2 linked regions of the Coturnix japonica genome follow. The protein of the gene in region 1 purifies or fractionates together with the protein of each later gene. This does not show direct contact. Links are inferred from orthologs where the notes say so. Each region holds a gene or a part of one and is shown in the gene's direction. Other genes may lie near its edges.

Region 1 (3,817 bases):
TTTTAGCACCTACCCATCATTTTTTCCATGTCCTTTACCACTGTTGTTATCTTATCCTGAACTCTCCCCTTCTCAACACTTACCCACCGCGCTCCCCTTGATAGATGAACTGAACGCTATAAGCCAAGGAAGGAATGACACAGTTGCCCAGTAATATTTTTATTGCCAGAAAAATGCTGGATTCCTTATTGGGAGGTAGAAAGGCATATGGTTGGGAGAACATTTTACATCACTAAAGGTCTCTAACTACTATGCTGTACAGTTTTAAAGGCTGTTTGGTAGCAAATTGATATTGCATGTTGGAGTCTAGTGAAGCTCCCCCTGGCTTTTCATGTGGTGGAGTCAAGGCTTTTGTTCTGCTTACTATGATGTTGAAGTACCTGAAATTTTTAGCACCTCTGTAGATAAATAAAGCTCTAAGAGGTGTATTTCTGGCTCTGAACTCTGGCGTATTGAGCAGTTCTGTGAACATAGATACAAGCTTGTGATGACACCTGGGGTTTCTGTCTTTTCAGGTGCTGGAAAACTACTCAGATGCTCCCATGACTCCAAAGCAGATTCTGCAGGTCATAGAGGCTGAAGGACTGAAGGAAATGAGGTTAGTATTGATGATCTCATGTAAAACCCGGCATGTTCATGGAGCAGGCTGCATAGAAGGCCTGAGCCGTTCTGTGTGACTCTGCCTCATCCCCAGCCTGCTTTCCTGCTTCCTTTTTTCCCTTTCCAGCATGGTGATTTCAGTTGACAATACAATTATTTATAATACTGTGGTTTTTTTTTTTTCCTTGGATTTTTTTGGTAACCTACAGAGTTCCCTTCATCCATCTATTACAGAATGAGTGCCTGTTGCTGATCAGACTGCACTGATTTACTGTTTACCTGCATACTTATCTCATAAGTAGCTCCTGGTGCCTTCTACTACTGGGCTTAGTTTGGTAATATTTTCAGTTCTGTCTCCTCTGATGCTTCACTTCTAGAGCAGACGTTACATTTTAGGACATTTTAGAAGACTCAGAAGGGTATCGCTGTATCTTACAGTGCTCTGCTGGCACTTCTAGTGCTTTTGAGCTCTGTGAAAGCACTGTTTATGTAGTCGTGGCTCTTGACATTGTACAGATGATATGTCCTCTTCATCGCTCATCTGGCTGTCAGTGGATTTCCTTTGGGGTGTCTGCTTTTCCTTCCCCTTGTTAACTCTCTGCTGTAAGAAAAGCCTGTTTTCTTCCCAGTGTAATTGTTCACAGGACACAGGCAGTGATCCTGTCTAGCTAAATATGCAGCAGGCTTTCCTGCTACATGAATAGAAGCCCTTCCTGAAAATGCATTTCCTGAAGGAAAAGGCTTAGCGACTCAGGAGGGGGTTTTCCCTTTGAATCAATACTGAGGCTGTGCTGTCGTGGTCTGGGGGTGACCCCAACCTGTTGGAAGGACCCATTCCTTAGCGGCCCTATGGGCTCTGGGCTAAGCTGGGATGTCAGCACCCAGCAAGAGCCAAGATCTTCCTCCTGGAAAAGTTCTATTTGTTTTTCCCTCCTTTTGGGGAAAAAAAAAATAAAAAAGAATCTGTTTTTTCTGTTGTTTTTTTTTTTTTTGTTTTGGTGGGTTGTTTTTTTTTGCCATTTCAAGAAATGTGGCTGGCTGGCTTACTTGAAATGTTCTGCTGAGTACCAAATGGAAAGCACTGTCTGACAGGCCAGAAGGCTGGGAGGTTTTTTTCATGGTATCTAAAAATGATTGAGGGTGATTTTCGTCTGCTGCTGAGGCTTGTGAATCAACGCCCAAAACCCAAATGCACTGAGAGTGGAAATAGCAATGATTCTGAGCTCAGTTTTCAGTATGAGGATGACTTTCTTTGATATCTTTTTGTCTCCATCCAGTTTTCAGTTTTGCTTTTAATAACGGTGAAAACAGGGCTGCTTTAATGTCTCTTTCAGGTAGCTTTCTGCGTGCCCCTGTGTGACTTACTGGAAAACATGAGGTTACACGGCATGGAAGTTCCATTGCTGTGTGCGTAGGATGGTTGCTTTGGTCATGAATGGCAAAACTGGGGCATTGCAAAGGGCTTGTCAAGTGGGTTCATCAGACCTTTTACATCCAGCTCTGCCAGTACAGAGTTCTGTCAGGGGAGACATTCCAGAACTACGTATGTGCACCATTTTTGCTGTTTCTGTTTTCGTTTTGCTGCTGCTGACTAAATCTGGTTTTTAGTAGAATCAATCCAAGTCTGACAATTACAAGCGGAGTAAGGGAGGAAACGTGTGATGAAAGAAATAACTAAAAATGACCAAGAGTAACTTCAAAATGAGCCTAACGTTTCCTGTTCTCTGCAGATTGCTTTGCTGTGATGTGTTGAGGCAAACGTACAGGTCAGAATGGGAAACAGTAATACTATTCTTACTGAAGTGCCTGTCCCATAAAGATAATGAGTCTCATCTTTGTTTCCCTCCGTCAGCAACTGATGCTGATTTAAACAGGTCTTTCATTTTGGGCTGTTTTCTTGATAAGGCCGTTTCTGGAAATGACCGAGTCCCTTTTGTGCCCTCCTGTTTTTCAGTGGCACCTCTCCCCTGGCCTGCCTCAACGCCATGCTCCATTCCAATTCCAGGGGGGGCGATGGGCTCTTCTACAAACTGCCCGGACGGATCAGCCTGTTCACACTGAAGGTAAATATTGAGTCTTTGCTCTTGGTTGAATGCCGAGCTGTGAGTTCTGCTTGTTATGCATAGCTGAGTGTTAAACTGTCGCTGAGCATCATAGGAGCTGAGTGTGCTGCGTGTGAGATCATCATGTGAAAGTGTGTCTGGAATTCATTATTTCATCGTAGCTTTTGTACCTTTCTGCTATATTCATCCATATGTGGTACATTCCTTTCAACCCCACCTATTATTTAATGAATTACACAAGCAAGATAAATCCTTACTCCAGTTTTCTGTTTTCAACTCAGGTGTTGATAACCAAAATAGTCCTGTTTCACTCATCAAGAGCCACAAAGGAACGTGGCCAACCAGCAAATCATGTTGGTCTGAGAGCTTGTAGCTACAAGTAAAATCTTGATAGCAAAATATATTCTCATTCAGAGTTCTCTCTGAAATGTTTTATTTTAGCCTTTTATCCCAGTAATCTTCAGTGTTGAAAATGCCTCAGGCTTTTCGTTGGTGTTATTTTGTACTGTTGGATTCCCTGTTAAAGATCAGCTTTATAGACAACTGATATCTTGTCTATTACTCCATTTGCAACTCTTTTACCACCATCAGAAAATTTGGTTAAATTGTCACACTTTGGGGGAGGAAAACAGAAGGAATTGAGATGGTTTTGGTTGCACAGTTAGTAAATGCATCTCCCAGGCTTGCTATCCTAGTAGCTGGCTTCTTGAGTGATGCCTGTTCTTTAACTGGTAAGGATGAGATATGAAGATTGAGATATTTCTCTTCCTTAGAAACTGCTTGCTTGATTCCCAGGAATGGTATAAAGTCACTAATATGTACTTCAGATATATCTGAGTTATTCATCTTGGAAATATCTTTAAAGTGTGCTAGTGGTTCACATGACTTCTGCTCCAGTAGGAGCCTAAACATTCTTAGGAATATCCTTCTGCATCAAAAGAGTTAAAACAGGGAGGAGATTAAAATAAAACGTGTATCTGTGAAACCAACAGCTCCCTTGGTTTAAACGGTGGGGACTGGGAGGAGGACTGCAGCCACCTGAGTTTTGTTTGTCCATTTAGAAGGATGCCCTGCAGTGGTCTCGGAACCTGTCTGTGCCAGAAGGGGATGAACTGGAGGATACAGCAGATGCAGAAAGCTGTGAGTCCAACGAA
Region 2 (3,817 bases), on another chromosome or scaffold:
GTGAATTAAAAAATACCCTGGCTCTGTAACTTTTAAGTCTCTTTTGTGATCTGAAGTTTGTGGAACTTCCCTATGAATTTCTAGGGGACTATTTTTTATCACTGGAGACCTTTTTATTATTACTGCTCTATCCATAACCTCATGCTTTGGTTTCTTTTAATGAATTTTTTGGTGCCCAGCTTAGACTTCCTTCTGAGTTGGCAATAGGCTTCATCTTAGTTTGATCAGTAATCTTATTGGCTTTCTTTCCTGGAAATGCTGTGCCCTGAAATAGCAGGGAGTTTCTTGTCTTAATCACTCCACCACCAAGAGAACCAATCTAAGCTGCATTGGTGCCCTTTTAAAATGTGGTTTGATCTCTTGTGAGATTTTGACCTCTTTTGATCATACTAAGATAACCCTTCTTTGTATGTGTTGTAATGTGGGGTATTGGTACTATTAATGTGCATTGTGGTTGAGGTTTTTGGTGTTATGGGTCAGTAGCACTCTTACCTATTTCTTTTGAACTAAATTATCTTGTTTATCTTCATGTCTTTACAGTTTCAACATACTGGCTCCATGTTCTAACAGAGTCAGTGACAGTGAGTCATTCCCATGAATGTCAAGTTTGTCAACAGTACATTTATTTTGGCTGGCAGCAGTGGCAGTGAGATAAACTTTAAATATATATATATATATATATGTATGTAAAACATTAAATTTAAAACAGACAGAGGCTGTAAGTACCTGTTTTGCCATATCTGTAAGGACGTTTCCTTCTGACCATTGCCTATTGCTTAAAAACAAACAGAAAATAGCCTACAAAAGTCCGTCATTCTGACTTTGAATTATACTTCCATTTTACTAATCCTCAAGACTAAGAATACTAAAAGAAAAAACCCATCCACCCCAACCCCCAAAACAAACAAAAAGAAATCCCTTTGCTTTCTAAATACTGTTCTCTTCTTCCTTCAAGCCTTGCTCTCATTTTTAGTTTCGAGGCAGTGAGGTGACCTTAAGGAGGGGAGTGCTCCTTAAATGCCTCTTCTTTCTAATGACCTGGAATTGCAGGGAGACGTAGCCAGGGCATGAAAATGCCCAGTGTTTTGTTCCTTGGTGGTTGTAGCATCGTGGTATCCACAAGCATGTACACACACCACTTAAATTCTTGTTCTGGGTAAGTAGACAATGTAGTCTTTGTATAAGAAGTGAAAGATAAGCTTTGAGTAACTTCTGATGCCAGCACGTGTTGCAGTATGTATGTCAGGAATGTTCCATAGGGCATAAGCACGTTTTCTTTATTTTCAGCATTCCAATGGCTTTATTTTTTTTTTTCTTTATTTAGATTAACAACAAAGCAGCAACTGGAGAAGAAGTTCCACGAACCATCATTGTTACCACCCGTTCTCAGTATGGCTTACCAGAAGATGCTGTTGTATACTGCAACTTCAATCAACTCTATAAGATTGACCCTTCCACGCTGCAGATGTGGGCTAATGTGAGTATCTGTGGATCTGGAAACTAAGATCGAACCTCTGGTCTACAGTGGTATTAATTTATTCAGAAGTGCGTTGCAGTGAATGAATGAGATCGTGGATTTCAAGACTTACTTTTCAAGTGCTGCTCCATACTCGCTCAGAATTGTTTCTTTTTCAGCAGCATTAGGAATTCAGTACTATTGTGGTCTTGTTTTTTGCTCTGTGCTCCAAGAGAGAAAGTACTGAGTGACGAACGCTTTTAACTTCATCTTGTTACATCATGACCTCTTGTTATCCAAATAAGGAAAGCTTTCTAACGTAACTGTTTTTGTCTTGATTTTTTGTTACAGATCCTAAAAAGAGTTCCAAACAGTGTGTTGTGGCTGCTGCGTTTCCCAGCCGTAGGAGAGCCCAATATTCAGCAGTATGCCCAAAACCTGGGTCTTTCCCAGAACAGAATCATCTTTTCTCCTGTTGCCCCCAAGGAAGAGCATGTGAGGAGAGGGCAGCTGGCTGATGTTTGTCTAGATACTCCACTGTGCAATGGGCACACGACGGGGATGGATGTGCTCTGGGCTGGGACTCCTATGGTCACCATGCCAGGTAACGCTGTGGGAAACCTGGATGGAGTGGGTGAATTTGATACCGTTATTGTAACCATAACAGGGAGTGGGTCTGGCAGACTTCCTCATTTCCTCTAGAGAAACAGGTCTGCACTCTGTAGCGTGTTACTTGGTAACTCCTATTTGTGTGCCTTTACAGGTGAAACGCTTGCGTCACGAGTCGCTGCCTCCCAGCTTACTTGCCTTGGTTGTCTTGAGCTTATTGCAAAAAGTAGGCAGGAATATGAGGATATTGCTGTGAAACTGGGAACTGATCTGGAATAGTAAGTAAACTTGCACTTTGTAGCTTGTTAGATCAAGAATGAAAGTGCTGTGGTGGGTCACAGTGTTGAGTTTATCAGTAGTTGTGCGTATTAGCCTAATGTTGGAAATAGGACAGTTCTCATCTTGAGGTGTTGTAGAGTCTTGCAGTTAACTCTGCTTCTGTTTTTGCAGTAAATGTAACAGGGCTCCAGTAACGTGGCTGCTGTTGTGAAGGAATTGCTCAAGTACAGGCTCTTGTCTGATTAAAAACTGCACCATATTTCACTTTTAGTTCTTGTAGGTTGAATTTGAAACAGTTGTAGGTTAAAACTGTGCAGTAATACAGAGCAGAATAGTTCATGTGACAACTGAATGTCACAGCTGTTCTGCTGAGATAATGCTGGTTGTATCAGAAACGAAGAGGGAGTGAAACAGCCACATGAACTTGGTGTGGAAGTTGCCGTTTTTGTACTGGCAGTTCTGGGTCTGCTGAAACCCATTTTAAAAGCAAACAGCACTGAGAAGTGTTGGGAAGCGTTTGTGACTGCCTTCAACTTATTTTTGCAGCCTGAAAAAAATACGTGGCAAAGTCTGGAAGCAGAGAATATCCAGCCCTTTGTTCAACACCAAGCAGTACACCATGGACCTGGAGAGGCTTTACCTTCAGATGTGGGATCACTATGCTGCTGGCAACAAACCGGACCACATGATCAAGCCAGTGGAAACCAGTGAATCTGCATGAAGAGACTTGTCTGTGTGCCCAGCCAGACCTGTCCAGGAACTCAGCCTCTCTAACACTTGTGCAGAGACGATGAGCTAAAAACTGTGCATTTCTACTTAATCTGCCTGGTACTCTGTGGCTGAAATGATACACGATGGTAATTAGAGCACAGCCGGACCGTATTTCTTGCATGATAGGGGAAGACTCTATAGAGCCTGGGATCCTTTTATTCCATGAGGAATTGGAACGGGATTGAGCCGTGTACATGTGAGCCTCTATGTGTGAGAGGAGAGGTTGGTGGGGGAAGTTTGAACTGCCCAACCAATTACGATCCCTTGGATTTGATGCAATCTTCTGACGCGTTTGTCTCCTTATAGATTGGGAATTGGAGCCTCTTAACGATTGATTTGGGGTACTCCTGGTGGTATACGTGTGCTTCTCCCATGGCAAGATTTCCAGCTAGCGAGTGTTGCTCCCTGCATTCATTTCTAGACTGTGCGGACTGAAGGGCATATTTGCTGGTGTAGTCTTTTTTTATAGGTTTTATAAACCACTCGAGCCTATATCAGCCTTTTAATGTTTGACCTCTGTTTTGGAGCTCTGTAACGTGTTGGTTTAGATAAGGACTTTTTTTGTTCCGTTTTTGTTTTTAAGCTTCTCCAATAACAGCTGATTGGCATCACGATGGCAGCTCCTATTCTGTTAGAAAACCAAATTTGATCGGAAAACGAATCCTCCCCCAAAAGCGTTTGAGGAAAAGGAAAAAAAAAAAC

The links.
Region 2: the proteins of ASXL1 (region 1) and OGT purify together in Homo sapiens (affinity purification with mass spectrometry; 3 studies listed by BioGRID and IntAct, with this or other methods). This does not show direct contact. The link is inferred for Coturnix japonica from reciprocal best matches to the Homo sapiens genes ASXL1 and OGT.

The regions. Positions count from the first base shown.
Region 1 is NC_029535.1:8,888,021-8,891,837, reverse strand, and holds part of ASXL1 (polycomb group protein ASXL1), read left to right. Parts: intron 1-515; coding exon 516-598; intron 599-2,554; coding exon 2,555-2,663; intron 2,664-3,724; coding exon 3,725-3,817.
Region 2 is NC_029519.1:2,145,850-2,149,666, reverse strand, and holds part of OGT (UDP-N-acetylglucosamine--peptide N-acetylglucosaminyltransferase 110 kDa subunit), read left to right. Parts: intron 1-1,324; coding exon 1,325-1,477; intron 1,478-1,807; coding exon 1,808-2,060; intron 2,061-2,219; coding exon 2,220-2,343; intron 2,344-2,890; coding exon 2,891-3,065; 3' UTR 3,066-3,817. UniProt on the Homo sapiens protein: Catalyzes the transfer of a single N-acetylglucosamine from UDP-GlcNAc to a serine or threonine residue in cytoplasmic and nuclear proteins resulting in their modification with a beta-linked N-acetylglucosamine (O-GlcNAc).